2 linked regions of the Rhinolophus ferrumequinum genome follow. The protein of the gene in region 2 interacts with the protein of the main gene of each other region in a biochemical or structural test. Links are inferred from orthologs where the notes say so. Each region holds a gene or a part of one and is shown on either strand. Other genes may lie near its edges.

Region 1 (15,749 bases), on a different chromosome or scaffold from region 2:
GGTATGGCTAGTGAATGTGAGAATTGGAGTAAAGTGGCTTAAAGCCGTGCTTCTCCCACTGTGGGATCTTCTTAAAATGCTGAGTCTGAATCAGTGGGTCTGGGACGGGCCTTTAGGTTTTGCATTTCTAATGAGACGGTGCCAGTGCTGCAAGGCCACTGACCACACTTTGAATAGCAAGACATTACTCAGGCCTTTCTTTACCAAGGAACGGGGAATGGCAGTTGGAAGACGAGTGTGGGACTGGGCTCAGACATGGGTTTGGAAATCTTCCTCGTCCGCTGATGGAAGTGGCGTCCTATCCTCTCACCTTCCTCTGCCAATGCTTTTTGCCACCTAGCTCTATTTCCTGCTGTTCCCCTGTGCCATCGGGAGTGACCACTGTTCTGACTCTGCCATTCCTCTCCTCACACCTGGGCTTGCCTCTCCTGGAATGTCCTGCCCCAACTCTACCCGCCACCATACATCCAATGGAGACAAGTGTGGAAAGACTGGGCAGAATTAGGCAATCATTCTTCTTCTACCCTCTCTATTAGCTGATTCAGACGAGGGTCATCAAGGAGAGGCAAAACCCCTGAAGGAAGGATATTTCTATGTCTTCAGCGTATGACCCCATTTCATAAGAGCACGGAAAAAAAAAGTGTTTTAGAAAAGAGATAGCCAGTGGTCACCACCTTTAATCAAGTGATCAAACATTATCATCGTAATGGGACAACCTGGCCTGTGGCTGTAGCTGTGCTGCAATAAGAAATATATAACATTATCTAAGTACTATTCTTGCCAAAAATATTTTGTCTACATATAATCATGACTGAATCTTAAGACAAATCCAAAACATGAACTAGTCAACAACAGAACTAGCCCGGACCCTTCAAAAAATCAATGTCATGAAAAACAGACACCAAAGGGCGGAGAAAATTGTTAAGATCATTGCTTCTCAAGCTTTTACGTGCATACAGATCACCCAGAGACCTTATTAAAAGGCAGATTTTGATTCAGTGGGTTTAGAGTGGGGCTTGAGATTCTGCATTTTTAACAAGCTCCCAGGACCACCCTTAAATAGCAATGTTCTGGGTGAAAACAGACATAACCAAGTGCAGTGTGTGACCTGAGAGGGGATTCTGAATTCCCAAACCAAACAAGGCACAATAGATGTAGAAGATATTTTTAGACAAGTGGGGAAGTTAAAATATGGACTGCATATCATTAAGAGATGATATTACTAAATTAACATTAACCCTTTTGGCTATGATGATGTCATTTCAGTAAGAAGGAGATGGGGGCTGAAATACATGTAAGTGAAAGGTCACACTGTATACAACTTACTTTCATATGTAGAGAGAGAGCACAAATACAGCAAAATATTAACACTGCAAATTTAGGAGAAAGGTTATATGAGTATTCACCGTTCTACTGTACTATAGGCTTGAAAACGTTTCAAAATAAAACTTTGGGCATAAGACATGATCCTTCTAATTCTAGAAGGAGGCTCAGCTTCTATCCTAGCTCTTCTTATTCCAAGCAGAAACTGTCTTCCTTTCTTCTGGTCTGTGACATTCTGGGTCATTCTGCCCTGAACTCAGGCTCTTGAATATTAGGTCCTCATCTCCGCAACCTAGAGAATTCCCAGAAAACAGCAGTCCTGCCCTGGTCACTTAGTCCTTCCATTACAAAGCCCAGCACAAATCCTGACCGAGATTTTCAGAGGATTTTTTGATTGATAAATCAAATGCATTGAAGAGCGTAACTTGGATAGAGGGAAGCATTACGGGGCATCACATCTTACCCCTATGTATTATCTGAACTTCAAAGCAAACCAAAAAACCATACCACCACCAGCACCACCAATCATGACCCTCAAGCAGGTATTCAGCTCCACTCTTGGTGAAGAGGTAGAGTGGTACTTGTAAGGATACATTGTTTTGAAGAAGAAAGTTTCTTTGCTTATAAAGAGAAAGGAGACAGTTGCTTTCTCTTTTTTCCAGAAAGAGTCTCCTTGAAAACCTAATGATCCTGAGCCTTATTGCTTTGTTCTAACCTTTTTGAAAAGATCTCTCCAGGGGCTGGATTAGCCCAGTCTCCAGGTTTATAACAGAGATGTCCCTAAGACTGAAGACCTCAGAGCCCCTTAAAATGTAAACACTTCTGGGGTCAACCTCACAGCCTACCTCCTTATCTAACCCGTTGTCTCTGGAGGAGATGGAAACCTTAATCATTTTCCCTTTTGTTTTGCTGTATAAATTGTGTGAAATTTCATTCTGACATATATGTGTCTACTCTCAATAAATCAATTTTTTTTTTTCCATATTGAGGTGAAGAAGTGTCTCTTTTTTGGTAGCACTTTTACTTTCTCAAGAGGACAATCTCTTTGGAAGCTGAGTGACAATATTTATTGAAGTGAAAAATAGAAAAATATATATTCTATTCCCACCACTAGGAATTTATCCCACAGATATAGCCACAGATGTGCACAGCAAGCAAAATTCTAGACAAAAACACAAGTGTCCTTCACTAGGCACAGATAAAATAAATTATGAAGCAGTCATACAATAGAATACTATGCAACTCCTCGTAAGAATGAGCTGGATTTCTATGTGTTGACATGGAAAGAGCTCCAACGTGTACTGTCAAGTCAGTAAAGTAAGGCGCAAAATTATGAGTTTACTATAATGACATGTGTGTATTATATATTTGTAGATACACAGATATTTTGGAAGGACAAGGCAGAATCTGTTCATGGTGGTTATCACAGAAAAGAGAGATTGGTGGTTAGGTGGGGAACAGGTAAGAGATTTTTACTTTTCTTTCTTTTCCCTTGTTTCCTGTTTACTTTTCTTAAACCATGTCAACATCATGTTTCATAATAAATGTGCTGGTTTAAATGTAAACAAAATGAAATACATCCATCTCAGTGGCTGAGAAACGTTACCAGACTACTATTCCCCAAGCGACATGAAAGCAGGACTTTTGTGGGCTTTGTTCTAGGCTATATCCCCATTGCTTAGAACAACATCCTGCACACAGTAGGTGCTCAATAAACATCTGAGACTGAGATCTAAGCTCCTTCTTTGTCTCTCACCCAAGGAGTGACATTGGAGTTATTTGATCTTCAGGCCAAGTCTCAAAGCAATCTTTGTTGATGTTCCTACATGCCTTACATCTTCTCTTCTCCAGCCCTTTGCTCATGCTGTTCTGTTGGCCAGGCGTACCCTCTCCTCTGATCTCCTTTTCCACCTGTTTAAAATCATACATACTGGGGGTGCCAAAAAAAAGTATTCACATGACTTGTATTCATCTTTCTTTACTGGTATATTCTGAGTATCACAATTTTAATACAGTGTTTTTCCTTTCTTAAAATGTGTATACATTTTTTTGGCACCCTCTGTATTTCTCAAGTCAACATGAACCTCCAATCTCCTGTGAAGTTTTTCTCAAGCCTGCCTGGAAAACTGTTCTGTCTGCGTAACTCAGGGTCTCATGGTAGCACTGGGTGCCCAGCTTCCATCACTTCTTATATGTTGTGACTTACTTTGTTTTAGTTTTGCCTGTACATGTGTCTTCCTACCGACAACTGTGACTTCTTAGGCCAGTACCACCATTCTCGTGGTTCTCCACCCCGCCCCTGTCCAATGTCACACATAGAGAGCGATGTGGCCATCAATCCACTCCATTTTTAATAATTGGGATGTGGGTTTAAATTCCTTGGGTTTTTTTTTGCCAGAGGTCCTGTTAGTATCTGTTCATTTGTCTCAGTTCAACCTATCTTAAAGTCAGCTTGCATTCCCTCTTCCTTCAGGAAGCCTTCCCTGATGGCTTGAGCTCAAGGGGATAACTCTCTTATCTCTTACGACAGTTAATATCTGGCCAATGTATCAGAAATGACACGTGTAAAACATTGAATACTTAATATCACAATGCTTAAGTAACTGATAATTCTCAGGCTAAGCAATCACAGCACACCAAACTATACAATCAGACTGTGAAGTGAAACTTTTCATATCCAAACATGAGGGCCAAGTCAAGGAAACGGATGTGCAAGAAGACGAAGCTCCTGAGAGAAGGCTGCGAACAAAGTGTCTCAGTGCTCCTGCGCCTGTCTGTCTTGGAAAGGGGAATGCTCTTCTCATTAAACCGTCATGCAGTCTTGACTTGACCCCTTTTACAGGGTGACTTCATTCAAGCCCTGTGTCCTTTCTGATCCTCATTTCCCACATCTGTGAAAATGAGGCAGAAAGATCCAGCCCATTTCCCTCATGAAAAGAATCAATTCAACTAAAATTGGGATTTGGATAAGAGCCATCCTGGAGCTCTCTCTAGCTTCATGTCACCATCACCCCGTTGCCCCCATCATCTTATTTCCCTTTCTTCCTTTCTCTGTTTTTCTTCCTTTCTCTCTCTTTCTCTCCCCCCACCCCCAGTGCTAGAGGCAATCTTTAACTAAAAACCTTCTTAATGCAACTTCAATTTCTTTTTTTTGGCTGTTGCTATAAAATGATATGCCTCTGGTTTATATCAGATTAGAATTACTGAAATTATAGGGCCTCTAAAGAAAAAGGCCCTAAAATGTTTTCAAGAGTATTATTCTTAGTAGATGTAGATAAGGACATTAAGTGATAAGTTTCATAAATTCTACCTAAATCAAATGTTCGCGGTTCTGTTTTCTTTCACTTCTATGGAGATTTGAGCCCCAAAGCTTCATTTAAATTTCAAAGCTTGCAGACACTGAGAAAAGATACCAAAGGCTTTTAAAGCCCGTTTTCTTTTTCGCTTTTGCTTTTTTCAGTCATCCCTAAGTTATAGAACATTCAGCCTAAAACAAGGTGTCCAAACTGCGGCCCGCGGGCCAACTGCGGCCCGCAATCCATTGTTAATTGGCCCGCAGCAAATTCCAAAAATATATTTAGTTTACTTAAAGAAACCAGGTGAGGCAATACGTACTTCACCTCGAGTGAGTGGCCCGGCTGTTTGTGTATTTTACCGCAGATGGCCCTTGGTGAAAAACGTTGAAAAAAGTTTGGACACCCCTGGCCTCAAACAACTGAAGGACAGATTCTGTAGGATTGTAATACCATGAAAAACGAGCTACGAAGGAATAAACAACCGTTCTCACATTGGTAGAGTGGAGAGGGAGTACAGTTCTTAAATTATCAAAATTAACAAAAGCTTTACTTCATTAGAAAAAATCATCTGTGAGCAATATATACTCTCAGTACAGTATTTTCTGTAATAATACTGGTAGATTCTCTGTAAACACCAATTTCCTAAAATCGGAAGCAGCGTCTTCCTTCATCTCTTCTGTTTGTACCAACTAATCTTACCATTTGCTTCAAACAAAGTACATCTCCTGAGACAGTTTGACGCTACAGCGTGTACCCGTAATTGCTTGCAGTTTTTGTATTGCGAGCAGCCTCAGAGGGGACAGGTGTTAAAAACATTTCTGTGTTCTTCTGCCTCTAGGCTCTGTTTCTTGTGACGCCCTATACTCTTCAAAGCAGTGACTCAGAAGGAAGCTTTCAATTTGTCTTGTGGGCTTTAACACCAAAATGTCCAAAGCTCTAAGCAGCCCTGGTCTTCTCTCTTGCCTCCTTCCCTTACAGACCCTTGGCCTCTGAAACTTAGCTCCTTGTTAAAAAAGCTCTTGGTAATGGATGAGGCCTAAGAAATCTCAGGAACATTTCCATTGAGAATATAGGACCTTGAAATCTGGTCTGAAAATGTTGAAGATGTGATAACAAGTTGTGCAAATATGTTACAAAGTTTCCCTACTGCTTCCTTCTTTGCTTCAAGTCTCTGGCTCAGCAAGATTTAAACCTTAATTTCTCAAAGCTAATAGCTCTTCTGCCCTCTTTTGGCTCATGTGAGTCTGGAAAGTTTTGAGATGATGGATAGCTCAACAAATTTGCCTCTCAAAAATCCAAAATATTTCAGAGAGTTGAGTTCCCGTTTCTTTTCTCCCTTTCTCTATATGATATATGTACTTTTTCCCCCGTCAACTAATTTATTAGTTTATCCCCAAGGCTGTCTCTCTGGGGAAAACTGAACATAAATCAGAAAGGAAAGGCGGCAAAGAGAAGTTGACTTACCGTCTTCTGAACTACCAACACCATAATGGTTGCCACGGCAAAGACGAGACACAGAGCCAGCGTGGCCATGGTGAAATAGAAGTAACTGCGGCTAGTGGTTCCCAGGTGGTTGGTGACAGAGCCCGCTGGCACATGCATGGCTGTGTCTTGAGCAGGGGCCACTCGGTTGAATGCTTGCTGAAGCCCTGGGTCCATTCTTATATAGTCTTCCCCACATCACACCTTATCTCTCATCTAATTCGGTTCTGGGCCCATCTCGGTTCCAAGAAGGATTCTCCCCTGCATCCTGGATCATGTGACTTGGAAAAAAACCTTCACCGGCTGCCTCGCGAAGAAACTCTTCTCTGGGGGCGTGAGGAGAAAGGCGGCTGCAGGGGTGGGGGAGAGGCTCATTTTTCGTTGCCAGGGATTAATTTGAGTGCAGAGAAACTGTAGCTACAGAGAAGGTGGCTGATGTCAGAGGGCGAGTAGGAAAATGACGGTTTCCCTAATCTGGTGTGTGTGTGAGTGTGTGTGTGTGAGTGTGTGTGTGTGTGTGTGTGCACAGAGTGACTTCTGTTTCGTTTAGACTTAGCCACAAAACGCCTTCCTGCTTCAGAAGTTGCTCATTCTCTTCAGGGAGGCCTGCGGCTCAGAAGACCTTATCAGAAAATGTCTCTTTGCTGGACCTTGGATTGCAGTAGAATGACTCAAAGTCATTCAGTGTGACAATGTCAGCTCCTGCTGAAAACTGGAAATGCTACCAGATTCTGGGAAGGAAGAGCCCACAAATATGGCGACGTATCCAAACGGGGATGAGCTCATCGCTGTATGAGATCTGGGAACAGGCACAGAGAGGCTGGAAACACTGATCCTTTGAACAAAATTTTCTGCAGAGTGTATCGGGATCTGTTCAACTTGCAGATAAACCCAGGCCTGTCATAAAACTCACAAAAAGGGGAAGGAATTGGCAGGGAGGGTTGGGGGTGGGGAAGTGGTCTGGTGCAGAATGTGGGGTGTTGTGTGTGCTCTGTGTGGTGTGTGCACGTGCTGCGTGTGGGTGGTTGCTGTGTAGAATGTGCGGTATGCATTTGTGATGTGTGGTGCATGTTGTAGGTATACGTATGTATTGTGTATTGTGTGTGGTGTGTGTGTGTGTGTGTGTTACTGTGACAGTGGAACCTCTGCTAACTCGGGCACAGTGCTAGGAGGTTCACACATTGCCTCACTCCTCCCTCACCTCCCCCTCTAAGGCAGATAATATTTCTTTTTTTACCAGATAGGAAATTGGAGGATCCCAGAGAATGAAAACTGTCTCAAGCAAAGTCACAAATGTTGATCAGTGAGCTAACTTGGGTGCATAGCCATACCTGACTGGCCCCCAAGAATGCTAAATCATTCACCCGTCCCTGCACTTAAAAGCTGGAAACCTGAGGTCCAGCCTCAGCCCCGCCTCTTGCTGGCCTTGGCTCCCTGCACAAATCCGTATGGCTCTCTCTTTTCCTCACGTGCGTTCACAGCCACCGTGAAGATCAAATGGGATAGTGATGTACGAGTACATTGTGAATGGGAGTAAACTTGGCAGTGGTGTCGGGCCATCCTGGTTAAATGTCCGAAGTGGTCCCCGTGGCTCAGTCTGGAATTTAGATAGATTTAAGAAATAGATTCTCTGGGGGTCATTGTGGGGGTGGCGGAGCTGGTCACATCTGTGCTTATGAATGGACTCCATTTAAATTGGGAATCATTGCAGAGCTGGTGCCTCGGGGTGTAGCTCCTTAAAGATTTCATTTGGAAGTACCCGATTCTTTGCAGCACCCCTGCCCTTTTTACTCACTTTTTGGCTACAGTATATCCTTGAGAACCAACAGGAACTGGGGATCCTCCTGAGGAAATGTCCTGTGTCCAAAGCCAAACTAGGATGATGCCCAGATCCCATACTGCTGAGTATCATCCGAGTTAGGTCAGACTCTAGGAATTGGTCTGGATATTCCTTCCCAGTAAATCCATAAAATCATAGATTGCAGATATGGAAGAGACATCAAGAAGTAAATTGTCTTCTTAGGCTAAATAGAGTGGTATGCTGTGTGCCTATTTTACAGTCGAGGAAGCTGAGGCCCCCTTGATCCCAAGTTGGGACCCTCCCCCCTTTATACACCACTGTATAAGTTTCAGGTGTACGGTGTGATGGCGTCCTTGTTGTTTCTCAGTATGGTGGAGCGATTACCACAATAGGTTCAGCTAACATCTGGGCTCGGTTTTGGAAGAAGCGGGTACACATACTCATTGGGTCTGGTAATTGGGGGGAATGAAGCAGGCCAGTATATTTTTGGCACGTGTACCTGGCTGATTTGGGGAGACGGCTGTGTCCTGTGGGGCGCATGGGCAGTGAGTGGGTAGCAGGGGGCTCTGTAATCTGCCCAGAGCTGCTGAGAATAGGCTGCTCCCTCGGCTTCTCTCTTCAGTCTCTTTGATGAAAGTGGAAAACTTCTGATTGTTGAATGGAAGCTGTGGGTGTTGAAAAATAAAAAGGCTTTGCTTGAAGTGCAGGTCTTCCTGAAGCCCCGCGGGGCTGAGAAGGGCAGTGGAAAAAAAGGTTTGTCTTACAGTTACCCGTTTTGCATACAGTACAATGTCCTGGGAGGGAAGGCTGACATGGGGGAAAATCAACCTTTGTGTTTACTCAGAACCTTCTGAGCAGTTGAGATTTTCATATCAGTTTGCTTTTCTAGCAGCCTGTGGGCCTGATTTCACTTCTCTCCCGGTGGCACTCATCCACTCACATTGGTCTAAACTTCTCCCTGTTGCCAAGCTGTTCTAGAAGCGAGTCTGGTCAACCTAGCTGCCCCATCCATTGTGCTAGCTGGCTTTTTTTCTCCTTTCTGTTCAGCCACCCAACGTACAAATGGAAAAAGCCTTTACAAAATTTCTTGTTGAGTGATTGTCAAATGCTTTCTGTAAGTGAAAAATTTAAAAAGCAGAGCTTCTCTGGCAAAAGCAGATGGGACAGAGAAGAGTGGAGCCTGGGCTGTTCACTGTACCTTTCAATGGCCTGGGGTCTCTCCAAGATGGAACAAAATTTGGAAACTTGCGATTTAGCTCAAAACCTTCCTTGCTCACATCAGGAAACTAGAAACCCCCCAAATGGAAATGACTTGTGGGAGTTCACATGGGGAAGGTAGAGACAAGCTTACAAGTGCCTTGTACTTATCTTCATCCCCTCTGCTAAGATTCCAGGCACACCCAGGCTTCTTTATATGTTCTTCTCACCGTTCCCCTGCTGGGTCCTTCTTGCTCTGCAGGTCCCTGCCAGCCTGCCTGAGCTCCTCCAGGAAAGTCTGTACAGACTGCTCAAGCTCACCAATATCTTCTCTCCAGAATCCTCTATCTCATGCCACCTAACCTTGCATGTGATTATCTACTCATTGTCTTGACGAATGACTGTCAAGTGTGTGAATTTTGCCATCCCCAAAGTCAGAGAGTCCCGGAGGGCAGTCTACACTTTCCTGGTCTTCTTTTCAATCCTGGCCTTCCACTCTGCATTACTTGGCACTGGACACTAGGGTATTACTGGCACTAGGTATGATTAACCCTCAGTCAATGCTTGTGTTGACTTCATGTTTGTGGAAAAAGGAAAGTTCTAGAAGGGTGGCTTATACAAAGAAATTGTGCAGTGGCATATTTGCCTCTTAGTTCTCAACTGTCCCTCCACCTCCCTGTCCTTCTATAGATGGCTCACCTGGCTGCCCATCGGCTTTTATGTTCCAGGATGGCTCCATCATGGAGAGTGCACACCAGCCTCCTTTCAGGCTACAATTAGTAGTGAGGTGTGGCTGCAGCATCTGAGACTCAGTGGGCAAAGAACTAATTTCTTATCTCTTCAAGAAGGAGCCTCATTTTCAAAAAGAGGCACCAGCTCTGGACCACCAACCCCACCTGCCCCACCAGTGCTTCCCCATACAAGGGACTGTGAGAACTCCAATCATATATACTAGTGGTTCCCATAATGCGGTTCCTGGACCAATAGCAGCATAACTTGGTGGCACAGAAAATTCTTGGGCTCCACTCGAGACCTACTGACTTAAAACACAGATTGCTGGACCCCAGCCTGAGTTTTTGAAACTCAGGCTGGGGTCCAGCAATCTGTGTTTTAACAAGCACCCCAGAGAGTTCTGATTCCTGAAACCATTTGGAAATCATGAGTTTAAGGAAATAACCGAAGTTCCAGAACAAACCTCCAAGGGATTATAATCCAGACTGTGGCCTTTGGGCAGGTGAACTCCTAACCCTATTGTGTAGGTGAGAAAACTGAGGCCGAGAGAAGTTATTGCCCAGGGTCAGGTAGCGGGGAATGTTGGCATGAAGACTCGTTTTTTTCTGTCCCTTGATTGAACCCTCTTTTTAACCTCAAATACGACTGTAGGCTATAAAAATACTATTGCTTAGGCAGATGGAGATTTTCTGTAATATTTATTTAAAGTTTTCTTGTGGTGATCATCGTATGTGGTAAAAAGAAATATTTTTTAAAGCTATTGATATATGTGGGAGAAGGACAAACTCCTCCCAGGGTGTTTTCAAGCAATACAACATGCAATGAAACTGCCTACTGAGGAGGGAGCGTCCTGTCCCATTAACTGGAGAACGTTCTGTTTTGCTGGGGCTAACTTGCAATGATTGGATATTGGAGTTGGCCAGAATGACACTTCACTGAGAGGATGCTGTGAGGACAAAAAACAGGGGAAGGTTTAGAGCCGGGTCAGCAAACTATGGTTATGGGCCAAATCTGACCTGTCACCTATTTTATACATAAAGCTTTATTGAAACAGTCATGTCCCTTTATTTACGCATAATCTATGGCTGAGTTTGCATTATGACCACAGAATTGAGTAGTTGTGACAGAGACCTCATGGCCCACCAGGTCTAAAATATTACTATTTAGCCCTTTACAGAAAAAGTTTGCTGCCCCCTGATTTATAGTATTAAAATGAACTCAAGGCAGGATAACCAAAGAAGGGATTTGGAAACTAGAACAGAAATGTATTTCCTAAGAGTCCTCTATAAAATCTTCATTTGTGTTTATATTGATAACTCATGCTTTCCTATGAGGAGATTCTTTTTTGGAGCTAATTGTAGAGGAGCTAGATGTCCTGAAAGGTGCATGACAAAAGTAGACTACTGGAGAGGACACAAGAGCTGAGAGAGGTGTGGCAGAAGACATCTGGGAAATATTGTATAGAAAGGTTTACTTTCCGTATTGGATATATGTGTTTGTGTTTATAAATAATAAGTTATACACATATACATATATGAATATATGAAACATATATGAATAGATATACATAAACATGAATATATACATATACATATATACACATACATATTTACATACATACTTACATATACATGTTATTTCGGCCCACTTTAAAAATGTTTTGAGGCAACTTAAATAAATGCACAGATATATAAGATCTGAAGCCACTAAAACAAAACAAAAGGTAGGAGCCAAGATATAAAGGTAGAGAGAAAGTGAATCGATTAAGAAACCCGGGTTGATGACAGTTTCAGCAGCTGAGCACAACATGTATACCTCTGAGCTTCCTGGTAACCAAGGCAAAGAAGAAAACACATTGGGTTGCATAACCCTCTTTGATCGTGAGAAGCAGATGAGTTCAAAAGGAGAAATGGACCCTTTGCTGGTAGTACAGGTGCTTTGAAATATATAACATATTCTGAAATAGTAGATGGTTGTAATCTATGAATTTAAAGCATGCCATTGCAATGAATTAGGATAAGCACTAATTTTAAGAAGTGAAAATACTGAAATATTTGAAAGGAAATGTAGTTTTATGATTTTCAATGATCCAGAATGAATGATAAACAAATACCAGGTAAGTGGGAGATTCAAAAAAAGAAATAGAGCATCCCTTTCCTGGCCTCCATGGAGGCCTTCTCCTTCCAGTAGAAATGAAGGACTGGAAAACTCTTTAACTTAGATGGAGTTCCGTAAGAACTCCATTGTCATTCAAAGAAGAGAGATGAGTCTGCACTTTTTGCAAAGCTGAGGCTAGGTCCTATGTATTAATAAAAATACATATGGGAAGAGACAGGATACTATTTTCATTGGGCATTTGAGAGCTTACTATGTGTTGTACACTGTTAATATAACAGACATCATTTCTACCTTCATGAAGCTTATAATTGGGTAAGTGAGATGGGCAATTCAAAATGTAATTATAACATAATGTGATTGATATTAATAACAGACATTCAGGGCATTATATGTATTCAGAGGGAAAACTCAAGCCCATCTATTATTTTCTAGGGGGCTTCCTTCAGGCAAACTTTTTAACCTCTATACTAAGTGAATGGGTAAAAATCCACACAGACTCTAGTAGGGTGTTTCACTCCCTTCCTCTTCCCTTTTATAATGTTTCAGCATCTCCTGTTGCCTGTGGAATCTGGTCATTATTTCCTTGCATGTCCTCCCCGGTCTTCCCCTAAAAGCTTCTTTTTTAGCCTCTTATGCCCCTAAAACCCCACTTCCACTCCAGGTGTACTGTTTATTCAGATCTTGGTCCCTGCTAATCCCCTCCATTTGGGGGGCAAGCAGTACCCTTGCCAAAACGTGAAATGTCCTAATTCAACACTTTTTTTTAGTTGCTGTTCAAATACTGTCTCTTCTCTGAGCTTCAACTCCCAACTTCCAGTAAGAATTACAGCCCTTTTTTCTTTGCCGTGTTTTGCAGCATCTTTTTACCTGCAGTCAACAACGATGAGAGTAGTAATTATTTTTATGATTACAACCATCACCTACATTTAGGGAGGTCATATTGTGTACCAAGCACATTATATTCATAATTTCACTTGCTTTTTATAATTACCCCATGAGTGCTATTATTCCCGTTTAGCAGATAAGGAAACTGAGGCTTGCTAGCTGCCAAATGACTTTTCCAAGGTCTTGGTGCTTTTTGGTGAGGAGCTGGCATTCTGACACAGGTCTAACTGCAGAGCAAGTTGCTGTAACCATTCTGCAATCATATTACCTGTGTTCTAGGTGGCTACCTAGGGCTCTGTCTCCCCAACTTTACTGTAAGCACCTTGAGAACACAGCATGTTCCTGGAGCAAATGACTTGCATGTATCCACACCTAGCACATTCCCAATAAATGTTTAAATTGTACATTTCCCTAAAAAATCTATCTAAATACATATATTGGGGAAAATACCATTTGTTTTACGATACTTTTTTTTTAATTGTCATAAATGAAGTTTAAACATGAGCCTGTCCCAGAGAAGAGATCCCAGGACTGATTCCCTCTCCATCCCTCCCCTCTTGTTGCCTTCCAACCTCCAGATTTCTGTTTCTCTCCCTACTCCAGCCCTCGCCTCTAAGTATATAGGCACATAAGTCCTGAAATAGAAGCAGATAGAAACTGTGACACATAGGTGTCTAAGGAAATTGGTGTCTTCTTATAATGGTGCTTGAAACATAACTGATGGGCCAAATATTAGATGAACAAATGTCATCTGCAGAAAAGGAGAGAAAGAGATAGAGAGATAGAAATAGAGATAGAGAGAGGAGGGGAAGGGAAAGGAAGGGAGCGGAGGGAAGAGGAAAAGAGAGAAATTTAAATGGTTCATTTTTCAGATTGTGCTAGATTTATGGGCCGTACTGAGGGTGGAGGTTGACACTAAAAGATGTCCTAAAATGTTGTTTCCTGAAATTAGCAAAAACCAGGAAGTGACCTTTTCTTTTCTCTTTAAAATGGGCTAAAATTTTTTTTTTCAATTTCTATGAAATTTGAAGCTTGGTTTGTCTTGGTTTTGAAGTAGAACTTGATTTATCCCTGGAATAAACTATTTCAAATTGAACAGTGCTTTAGCTATGCAATGCCACATGTTTTCAGTTGTGAAGGGACAAGAAAAGGAGGAAACGTGAACCACAGTATGCACCAATTCATTTTACATAGTTATTTTTTTACGGGAAAGAACAAAAATATCGCAACCTAACTTTGCTTTTTTAGCATCCAAGTTTTAGCTGTGCAAAGAGAGATTAGCAAACTGGTAGTGCTGAAATGTGAGCATCTGAAGAAGGAAAAATAAAGGAGGAGAACACAAAAGGTGTTAAAAAATGGAAAAATATTTAGTGGAGCATCTCCCTGGGAAATTTGTCCTCAGTGAAGTGACCCTAGTCCCCCCTTATCCACAGGGATGCGTTCCAAGACCCCCAGTGGATGCCTGAACCTGTGGGTAGTACCGAACTCTGTATATGCTTTTTTTCCTACACATTTGTACCCATGATAAAGTTTAATTTATAAATTAGGCACAGTAAGAAACTGACAGTAACTAATAACAAGATAGAACAATCTACTGTAATGAAAGTTTTGTGAATGTGGTCTCTCTCTCTCTGACAATATCTATTGTAATGTACTCACCCTTCTTGTGATGACGTGAGATGACACAACGTCTAAGTGATGAGACGCAGGGAGGTGAATGACATAGGTATTGTGACATAGCATGAGGCCGCTATTGACCTTCTGGCCACATGTCACATCAGAAGGAGGATCATCGAGACATGAGCAGTTGATGGCTGGCTGTCGGGAACAGATGATGCAGATGGTGGAAGAAGTTTAATTTCGTGTTTGAACCATGGCTGAGCAGGGATAGCTGAAAATGTGGAAAGCAAAACCATGGGGTAAGGGAGGAGCTAGTGTATAGAAGAGTGTGGATGCTTGAAGAAGGGTTCAGAGAACTGAGTTGGAAATACAGACTTGATTTCAAATCTTCTTCCCCTTCCTTCTACTCAAAACTAATTTGTTGAGGACTCAAAGTAAGATAGGTGTTTGGAAGGGGACAATTTAGTCACCCTATGTCTCAGTTGTTTTCAATGGTAAATTGACAACAATCACTTTCACTTTTAGGGTGGTTAAAAGATTGATATTGTTTAAAACACCTTAGAGCAGCTCCTGGTACATAGTGGGCACTTGGTTTACATTTGTTGAAAGTATCTGAGTCTTGTAGACTTGAAGTGTTAGACACTAATCTAGCTTAAACCACTGGGTGCGTATCTAGGCATTGAAATTCCTCCATCATTGCTGGTCAAATCACCAAAGATGTTTATTCCTCCTTTTCTTTCTCCCTTTCTCCACTCCTAACTTCTTTACTTCTTCCTTTTCTCATTCGTCCTTGTTCCCTTCTTGATTCTATTCCTTTCTGCTCACCAAGCTGCAATTTTACCAAGTATATATTTTTGTTCTATATTTTTTCTTCGTCCCAATTTTTTTAATAATGAATACGTATTACTTTTTGTAAAGAAGATATGAGAAACAACCCCTAATCCCTACCCACTGGGGAGATCACAAGTAATATCTTGGGGTCATATTGAATATATGTTATACTCTTGTTTTCTTTTTTTAACATATGCAGTTTCTTGCAAACCATAGGAAAATCTATATTTCTTTGTCTGAAATCAATGTACCTTTCACTTCTTCTTTTCAGGAAATGTGGAATGTGTAAGAAATAAAATGAAATTTCTCCCTCTGAAACCAGCCCACTGTGTGGTTGACACAGCCCTGTGTGTCGTCTTCTTCTTGCTCTGTAACATTGCACTCTGGGGTAGTCCCTTCTATCTTTCACGTCAGAAAATGTTCACAGGCTGAAAACCATTTATGGGAACTGAGAGAGAATAAGA
Region 2 (16,356 bases):
ATGTGAAGGCGGGGAAGGAGGTGCTGAAAGGTGTAAATCAAGGCTCCGCTTCTTCAGAGAGAGGCTGGGGCAGCGAGGAGAGCACGGTGGGGTGTGGGGGGGCCCATTACTCAGCTTGAGAGCAGTAAGTCCTGGAAGAAGGGCAGCATTTACTGTAAGTTTCTGCTTCTGCTCCCACTCATATCTGACCTAGACTTGTTTATTGAGTTCATTGTGATTCATCCTTAGGCTCAGATGCACCTTTTTCGCTCCCCCTTGATCTCAGGGACATCGTCACATGAACACGGGAAGAGGAATGCCTGGGCAGCACCTGGCGGCCTGGGGATCCTGGGCACACAGTTAGTTTGGCTCAGCCTGGACCTACGTGGCGTCGTTGGGCCCATGCACTGACCCTGGGGTGGCCCGTCTAGGATCATGGTCCCCATTTTCCAGACCAGGATGTGAGGCCCAGAGGTGGGGGGGAGGGGTCTTGCTCGGTCTCAGGACTGGTCAGGGGTGGAGCAGGTCCAGAGCTCAGACCCGATGGACAGAATGTCCAAAATGACAGCTCTGGGCAGGGCCGGCTCAGCAGCGCCTCTCTCTTCTCCCACCTCCTCCAGCGTGCTTTTGGGCTGGCAGTAGCAAGACCTCGTTCCAGAATCTTCGCTGTCTATGGTCAGAAACCACGGGGCATTCTCAGTGGCCTCGCTGGTGGGGAGGGACTTTTTATGTGCCACTCAGTCTAATTACTCAGAGTGCCTAGATCTTTGGGGACATTCATCCAAATATTAGTTTATTCATTCTTGCATTTATTCACTCACTGAGAAAATCTTAAAGGATTTCCGTGCACAGCTCCAGGGGCTTTGTTCCAAGCTGTTCCAGGTAATCACTCAGCCTCTGCTTGTAGGCCTCTGGTGACATGCTATCCTGGGTTAGCTCCGACATTCAGACAGTCTTTATGAGGCGCTGAAATCTAGCTCCACAAAGCTTCTCCCCATCGGTCCTGGTTCTGGAAGCTGGGGCTGCATAAGCAAGTCGTATCCACCCTCCTTGGAAATGCCTCCTAGTGATACAAAGGCTGTGACCTTGGGTCCCCGGGGGTCTCCTTGCCAATCACACCACCCAGGCCCTCCATCGTGGCATAGACTCGAAGTCCGTTCTTACCAATCCATTCATCCCACAAACATTTATCAAGCACCAACTGCATGCCTGGGAGTGTTCTGGACGTTGCAGAGACATCCATGAACAGCACAGCCAGTCTCTGCCTCGTGGAACTGACATCCCCACGTGGACAGACTGGTGCAAATTACCGTGGAGAGGAGTGCAACCACGTAGCGTGAGAGATGTGGGTGGTCACCCCAGGTGGGGAAAAGACGATGTCCTCTGAGGGGTGGTGACATGTACAGGAATGCAAGGAGGGAGCCTGTCCATGGGACGTGAGCAAAAGAGCAAGGCTGGAGGAACAGGAAGGAGCCCGGTGTGGCTGGAGAGGAAGGGGTGACGTATGGTGTGGTGGAAATGGTGGTGGGGAAGTAAGGAATAACACAGACCTTTGTGGACTGGTTTGGATGGTGAGTGATATCACATGACCTGCTTTAAAGTTCTCTCCGTCTCCTGGGGTGGGGGAGGGCAGGGGAGCGGGCAGGAGGGGGGCAGGAAGACAGGCTAGTGCTGTGTCCCAGAGAAGGAGCCAGGAATATCCTTCGGAGCTGGATCCACAGGGCCTGCCCATGGCCTGGGAGTGAGGGCACAAGGCAAGAGGACAGCTGGAATCCTGTCCAGGTGCGGGGGTTCCATATCTGAACAGTGATGTCGGTTATGGAGGCAGGAAAACTGGGCCTGGGGAGAAGAGGTGTTTTCGAGAAAAGCACGAGGTCTGTTTTTCCCCACGGTCGAGTGTCCAGTGAGGGTTGAGTGTCCTCTGCAGAGTTTGGGCCCCCGATGTGGGTCTCTGGTACCAGAGGCGACTGCAGAACTCCTGGTGTCATCTGGGCCAGAGCGGAGCACATCACCTCCTCTGTGGCTGGAGCCCACGAACTTCCATTCACACAGCCCAACACTCCATATTTTCTTGGCCCCCAAAGTAGCATCTTCCGTTTATCCTGTTAGCTTTCTCTTGTGGCTGTAACAAAGTATCACAAATTTGGTGGCTTAGGATAACACAAATGTATTATCTGATAGTTCTAGAGATCAGAAGTTTAAAACAGGTCAACAGGGTTGCGTTCCTTCTGGATGTTTTAGGAGAAATACGTTTCCTGCCTTTTCTGGCTTCTGGAGGCGGCCTGCATTCCTTGTCCCGGGGCCCCCAACCACGCTGACCTTGGCTTCCGTTGTCATATCTTTTCTGACACTGCCCCGCCTGCCCCCCTCTTCTAAGGTCCCCTGTGATGACACTGGGGCCCACACAGATAATCCAGAATAACCTCATCTCAAAATCCTAAACTGAGTCACATCCGTATAGCCTCTTTCGCCATGTAAGGGAACGTAGTCACAAGCTCAGGGCTCGGCACTGGACATATTTGGCGCCTTTATTCTACCACACATTTCATCTTGCTTGATCTGGCCCGCTGCCTTTGTCAAGTCCTGTATGGGGGGATAGTAGAGCTTGATGGTCAAAGGGTATGGGCTTTTCGGTCATCTTGCCAAGTTTATACCCTCTTGTGACACGGGTGTTCTCAGGCACGCTAAGTCACTTCTCTGTGCCTTGGTTTCCCCATCCATAGAATGGGGGTAATCACAGTCGTTTCTTTGTAGGGCTACGGGAAAGATTTTACGGGTTAAGATGTGAAAAGTGCTGAGAACAGCTCTTGGTATATAGCAAGTGCTGTGTAAACGTAAGCTGTTAAGTACTTGTCTGCTAGGCATTGTGGGTACAGGATGAAGGTGAACCACTCACAGGGTTTTTCTTCCAGGGCAGAAGCGTGGGAAGAGGGACACAGGACAGGGTAACCAGCAGTGTGGAGAACTGTCTCAGGCCCGTAGGAGCCCACACACATGGGCCTGTCCTCACCTCCACCTGGGTCGGTGAGGGAGAAGGCACCCAGGCTCAGGCACTTGATGCCGCCCTAGGACTTTCATGAAGACTGTAATCTGAACAACTGGCTCACGAAGCCACACCAGAGCTTCTCTAGGGCTGGAAGGGCATCAGTGGGAAGTGGGGAGTAAGTAGTTGCAGGGTTTGGACTCAAGGCCAGACCTTGGTCACGTCGACTTATGTGCCTCCATCCCACCCAGCCCCTGTCTTAGGCTCTACAGCCATTTGTGGGTTCCCATCTCAAGGGCAACATTTTGCAAAGTCACTTCCAGGAAGTAGCAGTTCCATGAGGAAAGGGTTCTATGGCCAAATAAGTTTGGGAAACTTTTTGTCTGTCTGCCTCCCAACCTTTCCTCAGAGAATCAGACAGAGGGCAAGGAAACACATACAAGGATCTGAGAGGTCCTACGATTTAAAATGAAAACCTCTCAGATGGTTTTCATTTTAGATGGTGATTCTTTGTATTTTGCTTGTCGCCTGGTGATGTCCCGCAGAACCAGCCTTTGAAGGAACACTCTGTGGGAAATGACAATTAAGGGCAGACGGTCTGGCCCTGAGTCCTGGGCCCATCTCCTTCTGCTCCCACTGTCCAGCCCATCTGACTACTGAGTGACCCGGCAGCTCAGTTCTTTCCTGCCTCTGTCCCTGGCTGCTGTGGGGCCTGCTGTCTAGATGCTCTCCCCTCACTTCCTCCTGTCGAGATCTTAGCCATCCTGCAAGAATCAATGGAACTGCTCCTGCAGGAATCCATCACGAATCCCCCAAGTTCTTTGTCTCTGTGTATCTCATGACACTTACATTATTCTGCTTCGCGTTAGAGATTCGTGGGTTTTTCTGATCTCATCGCTGAGGTTCCCTTCCTGTGTCCATTCTGTGGATCGCTATTTAGTGTCTCCTATGTGTCTCTTCTGGGAGAAGACATCACCAAATGGAACTGTCTAGAGTCGGCCTCTTTGTCGCCACCAGCGACGGGTCCAGTGCCTGGGTCCTGCTGGGCCTCCAGTGAGTCCATGGTGGGTGGGGGGGGACTTGGGTTTATTCTTTGTCCTCTCAGTTGAGGCCCTGTTTTAGTTGCCTGGTGTGGCTGTCATTACCACACCTCAGTAGCTTAAAACAACACAAATTACAATCTTTCCGTTCATAAGTCCCAAATGCTTGTCACTAGGCTAGAGTCAAGGTGTGGCCAGGGCTGTGTTCCTCTCTGGAGGCTCTGGAGGGAAAATCCATTCCCTCCCTTTCCAGCTGCTAGTGGTCATCTGCATTCCTTAGCTCGTGACCCCTTCCTCTATCTTTATGCCAGGTGCTTCTGTCATCGTCACATGTCTTTCTCTGACTCTCTGACTCTTCTATCTCTTTCTTGCACTTTTAAGGACTTTTGTGATGACATGGGGACCACTCCAAATAATCCAGGATCACCTCCCCATCTCAAGGTCACTGATTAGCAACCTTAATTCCATCAACAACCTTAATTCCCCTTTGTCATGTAAGGTGACCCAGGTATAGGTCCTAGGGATGGGGACATCTTTGGAGGGGCACCATTCTGCTGACCACAGACTCCTTCTCATTTCCTTCTTCCCTCCCACATGGCAGATTCTCAGTGAGAATGGCTATTTTTCTTGTAAATTCCATCTCCAAGAAGGTGCTCACCTGTTGCTGGGGGTTCTTCCTGCCAGGGGTTCCAGGCTCCATCTTCTATGGCTGTTTTTGTGTCTATTGTCTTTGGGTTTTAGTTCCAGCTACAAGGAGCCATGAATAGTCCCCCTCAGCTTCCTGGAGACCAAAGGTGGGAACTGGGGGTAAGCTTGACCTGGCTCCTGCACACAGGTATGACAGCCGTGAAGAAGGCCACCTGTGTACAGGCAGGAACAGACTGTGTGCCTGTGGGTGTGTTTAAGGTCGGGAGGAAGATGACTCCAATTTTAGGGGGTCTCTTGGTCTGGAGCTCAGATGAGCCCTTGGGGTGGAGAGCAGGGTTCAGATCCCCCTAGGACTAGATGACAAAGCCCAGCCTAGTGGTTACTTAAGAGCTCGGCTGTGATTAGCAGAATAATGTCCCCTTAAAATATCCACATCCTAATGCCTGGAACCTGTGAATATGTCACGTTACACGGAAAAGGGTTCTTTGTAGATGCGATTAAGGGAACTTGAGATGCGGCGATGAGGCTGGACTGTCCTTATGGAATCCTTAAAAGTGGAAAACCTTTCCTGGCTGTGTTAGAGAAAGATGATATGGAAGAAGAGAGAGCTGTGACAGGACTCGACCCACTGGTGCAGGCTTGGCAGATGGAGGAAAAAGGCCACGCACCAAGCAATGGTACAGCCTCGAGAACCTGGGAATGGCCTCAGTTGACAGTCAGCAAAGAGGGGACCTCAGTCTTAACCACAAGGAAGTGGATTCTCCAGCAAGGACCCAACGCTGCCCACACCTTGATTTTAGCCCAATGAGACCTGAGCGGGTGGGGGTATTCAGGGACGGTTTCTCTAAGGAAGTGGCGTGCAAGAGTGGGGTGTACTGTGCGAGGGGCATGGGGGCTTGGAGGACCGCATGCACAAGGCTGCTGGGTGGGGGAGGGAGGGAGGGATGGGGGAAGGCCGGGGGGAGAGAAGGTGCCAGAGGATGCACAGGCCAGATGAGCCCGGCCAGCAGGCCAGGGCCTTTTGTGCCACTGTCAGGACTTTGAGCTTTATCCACAGCTGGGTTGAAGCCATCTGAGCGTCTTCAATAGGGTGCAGGGGAGGAGACCAGGTCTGTTTTGAAAAGATCCCTCTGGCGTCTGTACTGTGAGTGGGGTACAGGGGATGGAATGGCGTGGATGTGAGGAGACGCTTGGACGACCATTGTCAAGTCCAGATGGTGGGGAGGTGACGAAGAGCTGGTGGGTTTGAGGGTAGAACTGGAGGTTAAGCAAACAGGACTAGTAACACAGAGGCCTGTGGGTAAGAGCCTGTGCAAAATGGCTCAGGCCAAATCCCGGCTCTAACACTGTCCAGCAGTGTGACTTTAGGCAGGTTTCTTAACCGCCATGTGCCTCAGTTTCCCCATCTGTAAAATGGAATAGAGACTAAGTCTAGGATGGGCCTGGGATTCTGCATTTTGAGGAAGTTCCCAAGTGGTGACAGTGCCTCTGGCCTAGGCACCTCACCCTGAGTAATAGAGGTGGGGAACCCCTGGGGTGGAGTTGGGGTGTACCTCCTAGCTCTGCCCAGCTCTGGCCCCTTTGGGTATTTGATCTGACTCTTCCACCCCCATCCTTCCCCTTATGCCCCAGCTCTAGACTCCCAGCTCCTACAGGTGTGTCCCAGCTCCTGTTGTGCTACGCAGCTGACACCAGGAGGGACATTTTGAAAGTGAAATTTACCAGGTTTTACAGGGAAAACCAAACCAACCTGAAAACAGAGAGGCCTAGAAATGGGAAGGTTTCAGGTCACTCTCTCTTTATAGATTCATGCCACTGAGGTTGGGCCACAGACTTTTGGTTGCACAGCTCATCACGCTGTGGACACCTTGCTCTGCCTCAAACCCTACAGGGGGAACCCCACCCAAAAGCCCCCCTTCCAGTCCTTGGGCTTCCCCTTCCCATTCTCCCCTGCCTCCCCTCTTCCCTCCCAGGCCATGGCCAGGGCACAGCACAGCTGTGTCTCCCCTTCCCCAGCGGTAGCAGGAGCTGATGGGCTGTCCAGGCCCTGGGCCTATGGCCAGTGGGAATTGGTAGGACCTTCAAAATTCAGGAGGTCAGACATCCTGGGGCTACCTTCTCTGCCAGGAGCTGCGGTGGGTGAAGGGCCTGTGTGAATGGGTAGTGGGGGGCAAGAGGAGGGCAGTGGGAAAGGTGGGAGAGATGGCAAAGGGAAAGCGGTGCTTGGGCCAGGGGTGAGGGCTGTGCCTGGGCCACGAGACAGCTAGTTTTTGGGGGCCACAGGCAGTGTTGCAAGGGTGAAGCTCAGGTCCCCACATGCCCTCTCTTTCTATTTATGGGCTAAGGATACCCTGGGAAGGTGGGGTTGTCTACCCCACTGGAGTGACAGCTCCTGGAGGGCGTTCTGGGGCCCATTCAGCTCTCTGGCACACAGTAGGTGCTTGTGGGGACAGAGCCAGGAGTGCAGTTTCCAGGCTCTCGGCCTCATGTGGAAAGGTGCTGGCTCGGGTAGTAAATGGCCATCAACTGTGATCGGATGGCCATCAGCTGTTACCAGTTAGCCATTAACCACTGAAATAACTGCTGTGGCAAAGCTAGCAAGTGTGGATTGCAGAGAGGCATAGATTGCAGTTAGCACGGTGGATTGCAGTTGGCAAGTGAGGTTGGTTGGCAGAAAAACGGACGGCAGGTTGCGGATCGTGTGGCTCCTGCTTCCTGTGTCTCCAACCCAGCCGCCAGTGAGAATATAGTGGTCTGACTCCCCTATCTATGGCTCCGTGGGTGTTCCTTTTTGGCCTCACCATATCCTGCGTTCTTATGTGGGGAGCGGGACCAGAGACCCTGCGTGACACCCTGCATGACAGTGCTTAACGCACTCTTATAACGGTCAAGAGTCAGCTGACCTGGACTCAGATCCTGACCCTGCCACAAGGTGTGGTCGTGGGCAGGTCTTTCACTTTTCAGTTTCCATGGGAATAGGGTCTCACAGGCTGTGGGTTCAATAACAGCTGTTGTTACTTCTACAACATGTGTGCATTGCATTGACCCCATTTCCTGGGCTTGTAAAACGATGACATCATAGGTAAAAACAAACAAACAAACAAAAAAAACATTCCTTACTGTCTCCGTCAAAGAAGGCCAGCTATAGCGGCCCGGGGGGCATCTGGGGTGGATGTTGGGAGATGGGGCTGAGCTGGGCCCGGACCTGCACCCCATCTACATCTCTGGGAATAGCTGGGAGAGCTGCGGTCCAGCACCTCCACAGGAGTATGGGGGCTATCCCTTTACCCCAGAAGCCCCACATGGGAACGGAGGACCCCAGTCCTCTACCCTTCCTTCGTGGGGCTCTGATGGGCTACAGCTGGACATCCTGACCGAGAACCCACCGCCCCTCCCGACAGCAAGAAGACAGCGCCCCCTGGTGGCAAACCTTGGACTTACACAGATTTAGTTTTAAGCTGCTGTCTCCTTCCTGAGACACTGTTAGTTAGTACACATGTTGTTTTGTATAATAGCTTTATTTATCTCTCTGTGTATACACTTATTATTATTACTATTTTCTTTTGCTGTGCCATTTGCAAGTTAGTTGCAGACGTTTTGATCCTGGACCCCTAAATATTTCAGCATGTTTCTTCTACAACAAGGGTATCTGACATAAACAAGTTATCAAATTCAGACATTCAACGTCAGTAGACCATTGACCTATAAACGGGGTGGTGATCTGGCCCCAAAGGGCTGGGGGTGGCATAAAGGAGGAGATGTGTGACTCAGGGGTACGTGATACACAATACCAGGGATTCCCTCTTTTTCTCTGCACCTTCCACCCTCCATTGACGTAGGGTGTGGTGTCAGAAGGTGAAGGGTAAGCAGCCAAGCACCCCTCGTCTGTCCCCCAGGCCTTGGGGAGTCCATAGCTATCAATGAGATGAGCAGGCAGGTCAGGAGGGGAAAACCCAGACCAGGGACCCAGAATTTTCCCCACACTCAGCAGAACCAATAGGGCCGAACATTTACACCCTCAGCCCACCCCACTAGTAGGCTTCCGAGCTCACTTGGTGAGATGCTGTGGGTCAGGGAGAACCTTGGATTGTCCCGGCAGGCCTCTGCCCCTGGAGAGGCCCCCAGGAGACCCCTGATTTACTTGAGAACAATGAGCTCCTTCGGGGGGAGGGGGCGGGGTATATGTGGGTGAAGACAATGCCATGTGACTGGTGGTGTGCAGCTGTCAGGCTATACTTATTATCTCAGATTTATTCAGTGACACTTCAGATGTGCAAAAAAGATAAAAAGAAGAACGTAATCCACACTCCAAATATCTCCCTTTCAGCTACACTGGCCTCCTGGCTGCTCCCTGACCATAGCAGAAAATTTTATTAATTGTTACTGTTCCCTTGAGTGCAGAGAAGAGTAGAGAAGCCCCTTGGGTCAGCCAGGCCTCTCCCCTCGGGCAGTAAATGGGTTCTGCTTTCCCCTGCCAAACCAAGACCCTCCCCGTTCATCCCACAAGTGGCCACCATCTCAGAGGCTGCGATATAGAAGTGGGACACTGCTGCCTCCTTCCGTCTCTCCTCCCCTCCCTCCCACCCTCCCTTCCCTGGGGCCCCCAGTCATAGGTCTGCCCAGAAACCTGCTTCATGCTCACCTTTCATGGACCAGGAAGGACAAACACTCCTTCCTGAGGTTCTCAGCAGAGCCTTTCCTCTCTTGAACCCTCCGTAACAGACAGGCTTAACTTTCCCAGAGCCCTGGAAACATATGGGTGAGCTGTTAAAAATGCACATTCCTGAAGAAAGTGAGTCTTGACCCTGCTTCACACCATGTACCAAACTGAAACCCAGCAAACAAGTTTAGCACGAATTGGTATTACGGGCCTGTGCCAGAGGCCAAGTAGGAGGCAACTGAATTAATCCACGGGAGAGAGGATGGGGCTGGGACCAGGCACAGGAGCTGGAAATACTGGTCCAGAGAGGCTGGGAGAACTTGCTGATGGGTTGCATGTGAGCGGGACAGGGGTCTCCAAAGTTTTTGCCTGAGTTATGGGGGGCTGGGGCGGGTTCGAGGGAGATGTGAACTCAGGAGTTTTGTCCTGATTTCTCTTCTGTAAAATGAGGCTTGTTCTCAGACCTGGTCTTGGCGGTGAGTGGGGACCCGGCCTCCTGGGACCTGAGGGGCTGGAGGGAGGATGGGTGTCTGGGACCCACCCACCCTCACCAATTTGTCCCACTCTCCAGGGTCGAGCCCCCAGGGATGCCAGTCCTGGAGACCCTGGCTGCTACTATGACAAGGCTGCTGGGAAGTGCTATCACCGCTGCCCCCCAGGTGAGTCAGGGGCTGGGGGTGGGGACAAGGGGGGATTGGGCAGTGGGAAACACGGGAGCCAGCATCGTCATCATCACGTTGACTGTAGGTTATGAAGGCCATCCCTCTGTGACTTGTTGTTTTTAATCAGTAGCTGCCCTTTATCAAACACGTGCTATGTACCTTCAGTGCGTGTCGTCGTCTCGTCAGAGCCTCACAATTATCCTTTATTGTCCCCATTTTGCTGATGAGGCTTTTGGGATGCTGCAAGGTTAAGTCACTTGCCCAAGGTCACAGAGCTGGGAAACGGCAGAACTGGCTGAGGCAGGAGTTCAGGGTTCTGTGACCCCAGAGCCTGGGCTAGGGACACTCCTGACTGCCCCTCATTTCTGGGCCTGGACACCCTTTGCAGTGCTCATCTTCTCCAGCCCAGAATATGTGTTTGTTCCCGGGCTGCCTGGACTGTAGCTCTCTCGGGGACCAGTCTTGCCAGCCGGAGCTGGCTTCCGGGAAGTGTCACCCACCCCCTGCCCCGTGATGGGCTCTGACTAGGTTATCTGGAAGTCCTTCCGGAACAGCGGTGTGCCTTGTTCTTCCCACTTTGCAGGGATGCTCAGGCTGGAGGAGGTGAGCGACGGAAGGGGGCCACAAGGCATTGCCATCCTCGGTGGCTGTCATCCAAAGTCCAGCGGTGCGTGCAGTGGCCTTGCCTGGGTGCGGCCTGAGATAAAGCTGAACTCTGGTCTCTGACCTCCGGGAACAAAGACTGAAGGGGGAGGAAAGGTGTTAGTTAGGCCCCTGGAGGGTGTGAGGACTGGATGTGACCCGTTCATCATACCTGCCTCGTGCTTTGAGGACTGAAGGCCACGGGAAGTGGGCGGGGGTCTTCAGGACAGGGAGGGTACCCACCTATGGTCCTCTGAGGCTCCCAGCATTGCTGTCTGGAGGGTGGTGACAGGCTGTGATGCCCAGGATTACTAAGGGTATGTGGCTGGAGCAGGGCAGGAGCCCCAGTCGGTCTGTTCTTAGAACTGTGGCCTCTGCTTCACTCTGCGGGCTGAGCGAGGCCATGATCGGGCGACCAAAGGACCGAGAGAAACATTTGGGGAAAGAACTTGATATTTTCTATTCCTAAAAATGATTCATTAGTTATTCATTCAGTAGTCATTACAGGGAAAAAACTAGAACTTTGCTGGACTTTCTCGCCTTTGTTTTGGGGTTGAGTGTTGATTCTGAAGTGTCTATCAGGTGGGTCCCTGTGCTTATTTGGGACTTCAGGGCCGAACTGGCCAGCAATGCCCACCTGTGTACCTGCCTGTTCACCTGCCTGTCCTTTCACCCAGTCACTGACTCATCTGCCCTGCCCTCCTCCCAGCTCCTCAGGCCCCCCTCCTCCCCCTCCCATTCCCTTTCCGGTTCTTTCAGTCCTCCATCCCCCATCCATCTATCCATGTGTCTCTGTGGCTCAGGCTGCCACAGCAAAATACCTCAGACTGGGCAGCTTCAACAACAGACATTTATTTTCTCACAGTTCTGGAGGCTGCAAGCCCAAGATCAAGGTGCTGCCAGGGTTGGTTTCTGGTGAGAAATCTCTTTCTGGCTTTCAGACAGGCACCTTCTCATGGGAGAGAGAGAGAGGGAGGGAGGGAGGGAGGGGTGGTGGGAGGGAGAGAGAGAGAGAGAGAGAGAGAGAGAGATTTCTTTTCCTCTTCTTATAAGGCCGCCAACCCTGTCAGATCAGGGCTCCACTCTTATGACCTCATTTAACCTTAATTACTTCCTGAAAGCCCTGTCTCCAAACACAGTCACATTGAGTTAAGACTTCAAACATGAATTTGTGGGGGACACAGTTTAGTCCACAGCACCTTTCCCCCACCCAACCCTCTCCCATCTGTCTCCCCATCCATCCCCACCCATCTACGCACCACTCTGCAATCCCCCTTTCCGTCTATACTTCCACCCATCCATCCAACAATTTTTTATTCCTCCTTCTAATAGTGAGGTCACTTGTCACCTTTCCAGCTTTTCCTTCCTTGGTCTTTCTGCAGGACCGGCTGTGCTTGGTGTCCTCTGAACCTACTGTGTGCTTTCAAATCTCTGGGCCTCTGTACATGCCTGTTGGCACCTGGGACGCCCTCCGCCACCATCCCCGCCTGCTGCAGTCCTAACACTCCTTCCTCCATAAAGCCTTCCCACACCCGCCCAGTGCTATGCGGCTGGTGGCACACTGTTTCTCTCCAGGCCAAGTGCAGTCAGGGCTCCGGAGTGCAGTGGCCCTCATGTGACTTTCCATAAGAACCACAGTCCCAGCTGCAGGGAGAAAGACAGACACTTCCTTCCTCATCCCCCAGCCCCCTGGATCCCAGCTTGGTGGGGTCTTGAGAGACAGACTTCCTGGTGGCAGCCTCCCCTGCTTAGATGCTATGACTGGGAAGAGGGAACCCCCTTCCCCCCATGTGCCTTCCCCAAGGCCCGGTGACTAGGGGTGGCTGAGCACCTCATGCTGCTGTGGTGGGCGGGGCATTTTGGTGGAGTTTTATTGACCTTGTGCTTCTGGGCAGGCAAGAAAGGAAAAACGAAAAACCCACAAAAACCCCTTCCTCGGTTTGTTGGGGAAATTTCTGACATTTTGCCCGCCCTCTATCATCAGTGCTCAGCTGTGTGGCAGGGTTCACACGGGGGCGGGTTGGTAGAGGAAGGAAACGGGAAGACCTTTGAGACTGAGTTTAGATGTCTTGAATCCCTCCTCTCACCCAGGCCGGTAGGGCCCTTTCTAGCGTAGGGCCCTTTCTAGCATCGTTGACAGCTGATCCTCGGTCCTCTGCTTACACACCCTCAGTGACAGGAAGCTCGCTCACTGCTTCGTCACAATTACCAATGATGGAGCATTCTTCCTGTCAGCCACGGTGCTGAGCGCTTTACCTACACATCAGCTGCCTGAACCCAGATGGCAAACCCAGAGAGGAAACTTGAACATGCCAGGGTTCAGGGTTTGTCCATGGTCACGTGCTAGTAAGTGGCTCAGGGTGGGGGCGGGGGGATTTGAACGTGGCCGTCTAACTTGAAACCCCAGACGCTTCAGTCTTATTTGTATTGACCCCCAAGGCATTGCCTTTGGGCGGCCACAGAGCATATCAGACAAGAGCCCATGCGGGGACTACAAACCCCTCATTATTCTGCACCCTACTTCTTGGATACCCTCTCTCACTCCCCATAGGAAGGGGTCTCCCTGCAGATGTGTAAGGCCTACCCAGACCTGGTGTCAGGCGGAGACCATGGTTGGTTTGGGGTCTGGTGGGAGTGTCCCATGTAGTCCCAGGAACTGAGGGTTTCTCCAAGGGCTGTGAGCAGGAGGGAGGAAGAGGAGGCGGCCTTCCCTGCCCACCTGCCCTTGGCCAAGTTTGACTCCCTCCTCAGGCTGTGGTTCTCCTTCAGGCAACAGGAGGGACACTTGACAGACATCTTTCAGCCCCAATTCCAAAGCCGAAAAGAAAGCCTCTGACGGCTCAAATAAGTCCCAATGTCCACCTCTGCTCTGGTTCCCCAAGGCTAGGACTGTCCTGGACTACTGCTGGGGAAGGGGGTGGAATAATTCATCAAGAAGGGCAGCCTGTGGGCTGGGAAGCCCTTCAGCAAATGTGTCGGCTGCAACAGGCTGTTAGAACCTGGGGCGGTGCTGCTGGGAGCCGTGGGGACATATTCCTGGGGGGCCTAACCTAGTTGGAGCATTCAGGGGGTGTTTTCTTGAGCTGTTGGCATCTAAAGGAGTTCTAAGGATGAACAGGAGTGTCCCAGGCCAAGGTGGCGCGGGGGTTTGCTCTGGTTAGAATATGCCAAGGCCGGGGACAGGGCATGAAGGGGAGCAGGGAAGGGGAGGCTGGAGGGCTTGGGGCTCAGGCTCCGTGAGGGGAGTTTCTGGGCCAAAGCAGCTGTGGCCTGCCTGCCCCGATGCGGAGCCAGAGGTAAGAGGCAGTGACAGGAATGTTACGACAAATTTGAGAACATCTGGAGTGGGTAAGGCGCTGATCAGAGACTGGGAGTAGAGTATGGCTGGAGGCAGGGCAGGGCAGAGGGACACTTGGGAACCAGTTGTAAGAGCCCCACCACAACTTGGAAACCTTTCTTAAGGTTTGTGATTAAGAAAGTGATACTCAGGGAGCGAGATCTCTGTGGAAAATGGGAAAAGAAGAAAAGAGAAAAACACTCATAATTCTTCTGCTTCCTCTGCCCCAGCCCCCGTGGCCTCTCTGTTCTTTGCACAAGTCATGCTTCATCCCCCCTCGTGGCCTTTGCACTCGCAGCGCCCTCTGCCTGGAATGCTCTCCCCCAGGCCTCTGGGCAGCTGCCACCGCCTTCAGTCCCCTGGGACTCAGTGAGGCCATCAGCCCACACTCCCTAGAGCTCTCTCTCCATTCCGGGTGGACTTTCCTACTCGTAGCTGCTTTATTTTCTTCAGTTTGTACCCACATTGGGAACCAACTTACTAATTTCTTTCCTATTTTTATTTTTATTGGGGAATATTGGGGAACAGTGTGTTTTTCCAGGACCCATCAGCTCCACGTCAAGTCGTTGTTTCAATCTAGTTGTGGAGGACGCAGCTCACTGGCACATGTGGGAATTGAACCGGCGACCTTGGTGTGATGAGCTCCTCGCTCTAACCACTGATCCAACCGGCTGCCCGCTAATTTCTTTCTTGACTTGCTTGTCTCTCTTCCCCAGGCTAGTGTAAGCTCGATGGGAGTAGTTCTGGCATAAAGGTGGTGCTCAGTAACTGAGTTAAGTGAAAAAACAATCCCGCAACCAAATTAGTCACACTGAGCCCTTGAATGTATTTTCTGAAGAAGAGGGTTTCTGAAGTCCAGCCCAGGGCAGCCCCTGGCACTGAGAGGCAATTTTAAAGGGCCCAGAAAGGGGATCTGGATGGCGTCCGATGATCAGGAAAGTTCCATAAGGCTGACTTGGCTGGATGCGAAGGGCTCCCAGCGGGTACACATGGAGATGGAGGAGCATTTTAGTCTGGGCAAAGAACATGTGTATTAGTTTCCTAGGGTTGCCATTAACAAAGTACCACAAACTGAATGTCTTAAGCTACAGAAATTAATCGTCTCTTAGTTACAGAGGCTAGAAGTCCAAGACCAATGCGCTGGCAGGGACATGCTCCCTCTGAAGGCTCTAGGGAAGGTTCTGGCCTCTCTCCTACCTTCTGGTAGTTCCTTGGCTTGTGGCCGCCTGACTGCAATCTTCATGGGGCCATATCCCTGTATGCATGTCGGTCTCTGTGTCCAAATTTCCCCTTTTTTATAAAGACACCAGTCATATTGGATAAGGGCCCACCCTAATGACCTCATTTTAACTTGTACCTCTGTAAGGACCCTATCTCCAAATAAAATCACATTCTGACATACTAGGAGTTAAGACTTCAGCATATATTTTTGAGGGTGACATAATTCAACCCATAACAACATTCCAGGATACATGAGAGGTACCAGAGGAAAGACCAATGTGCCCAGGTTGACTGAAGCATAGAGTGTATGCAATGAGTGATACACAACAATACCAGACCAGGAGTCTGGAGACAAAGTGCGGCCTGGCAGTGCCAGGCTGAGGACTCTATTGATTAGGTTGGCAGAACATGTATTGATCAAATATGTGCCAGGCCCAGTGATAGGGTGAGCAGAAATGGAAAGATCCATCCTGGAAGAGCTGACATTCACGGGGAGAATTCAGACACTCAGACGATTTATCCCACAAATAATTGTGCAATTACAACAGGAGAGTGAGGTACAAGGTCTCTGACGGTTTATGACAGTGGTCCTGATCAAGTTGCTGAGGAAGTGATGTCTCCACTAGGGTGTGAAGACTGAGTGGGAGATTACTGGGGGAAAAGGGAAAGGAGCATTCCTGGCAGAGGCCCAGCTTGTGCAAAGGCCCTGGGGGCAGAAGGGAGCATGGCCCTTTGGGGAACAGGGAGCCCTCGTATGGTTAGGGATCAGAGAGCAAGGGGGATACGGGTGGGCAGAACCTCATTAGCCATGGTAAGGACCTAGGCCTCTATCAGTCACAAGAAGCCTTTGAAAGTTTTAGGCAAGGAGTAATGGCATCAGATGTATCCCTCTAAGACCACTGGGGAGCTATTGAAGTGTTCTGAACTAGAGGGTATCAGCCATCAAGCTAATATTTTTGAGAGGAACTTGCATGTGATTTTAGAGCAGGGGCTCACGGGCTCCCCAGGGTCCAAGGGTAGATTTCATGGGGGCGGTGTGCCTGAATGAGTGCACTTAGTTTCATCAGCCTCTAACTAAAATTGCCTTTATGAATTCCTTCCATTACGAATTAAGGCAAAAAAAGCACAGTAGTAATAGTAGTCCTTGCAGTTTCTCCATCGGTAGAAATCAGATAGTCTCATAT

The links.
Region 1: the proteins of TNFRSF8 (region 2) and TNFSF8 form a complex in vitro, tested with the Homo sapiens proteins (2 studies listed by BioGRID and IntAct). The link is inferred for Rhinolophus ferrumequinum from reciprocal best matches to the Homo sapiens genes TNFRSF8 and TNFSF8.

What each region holds. Positions count from the first base shown.
Region 1 is NC_046295.1:66,488,074-66,503,822, forward strand, and holds the start of TNFSF8 (tumor necrosis factor ligand superfamily member 8), read right to left. Parts: upstream 6,568-15,749; 5' UTR 6,279-6,567; coding exon 6,084-6,278; intron 1-6,083.
Region 2 is NC_046292.1:8,213,907-8,230,262, forward strand, and holds the start of TNFRSF8 (tumor necrosis factor receptor superfamily member 8), read left to right. Parts: upstream 1-9,919; 5' UTR 9,920-9,969; intron 9,970-16,356. UniProt on the Homo sapiens protein: Receptor for TNFSF8/CD30L. May play a role in the regulation of cellular growth and transformation of activated lymphoblasts. Regulates gene expression through activation of NF-kappa-B.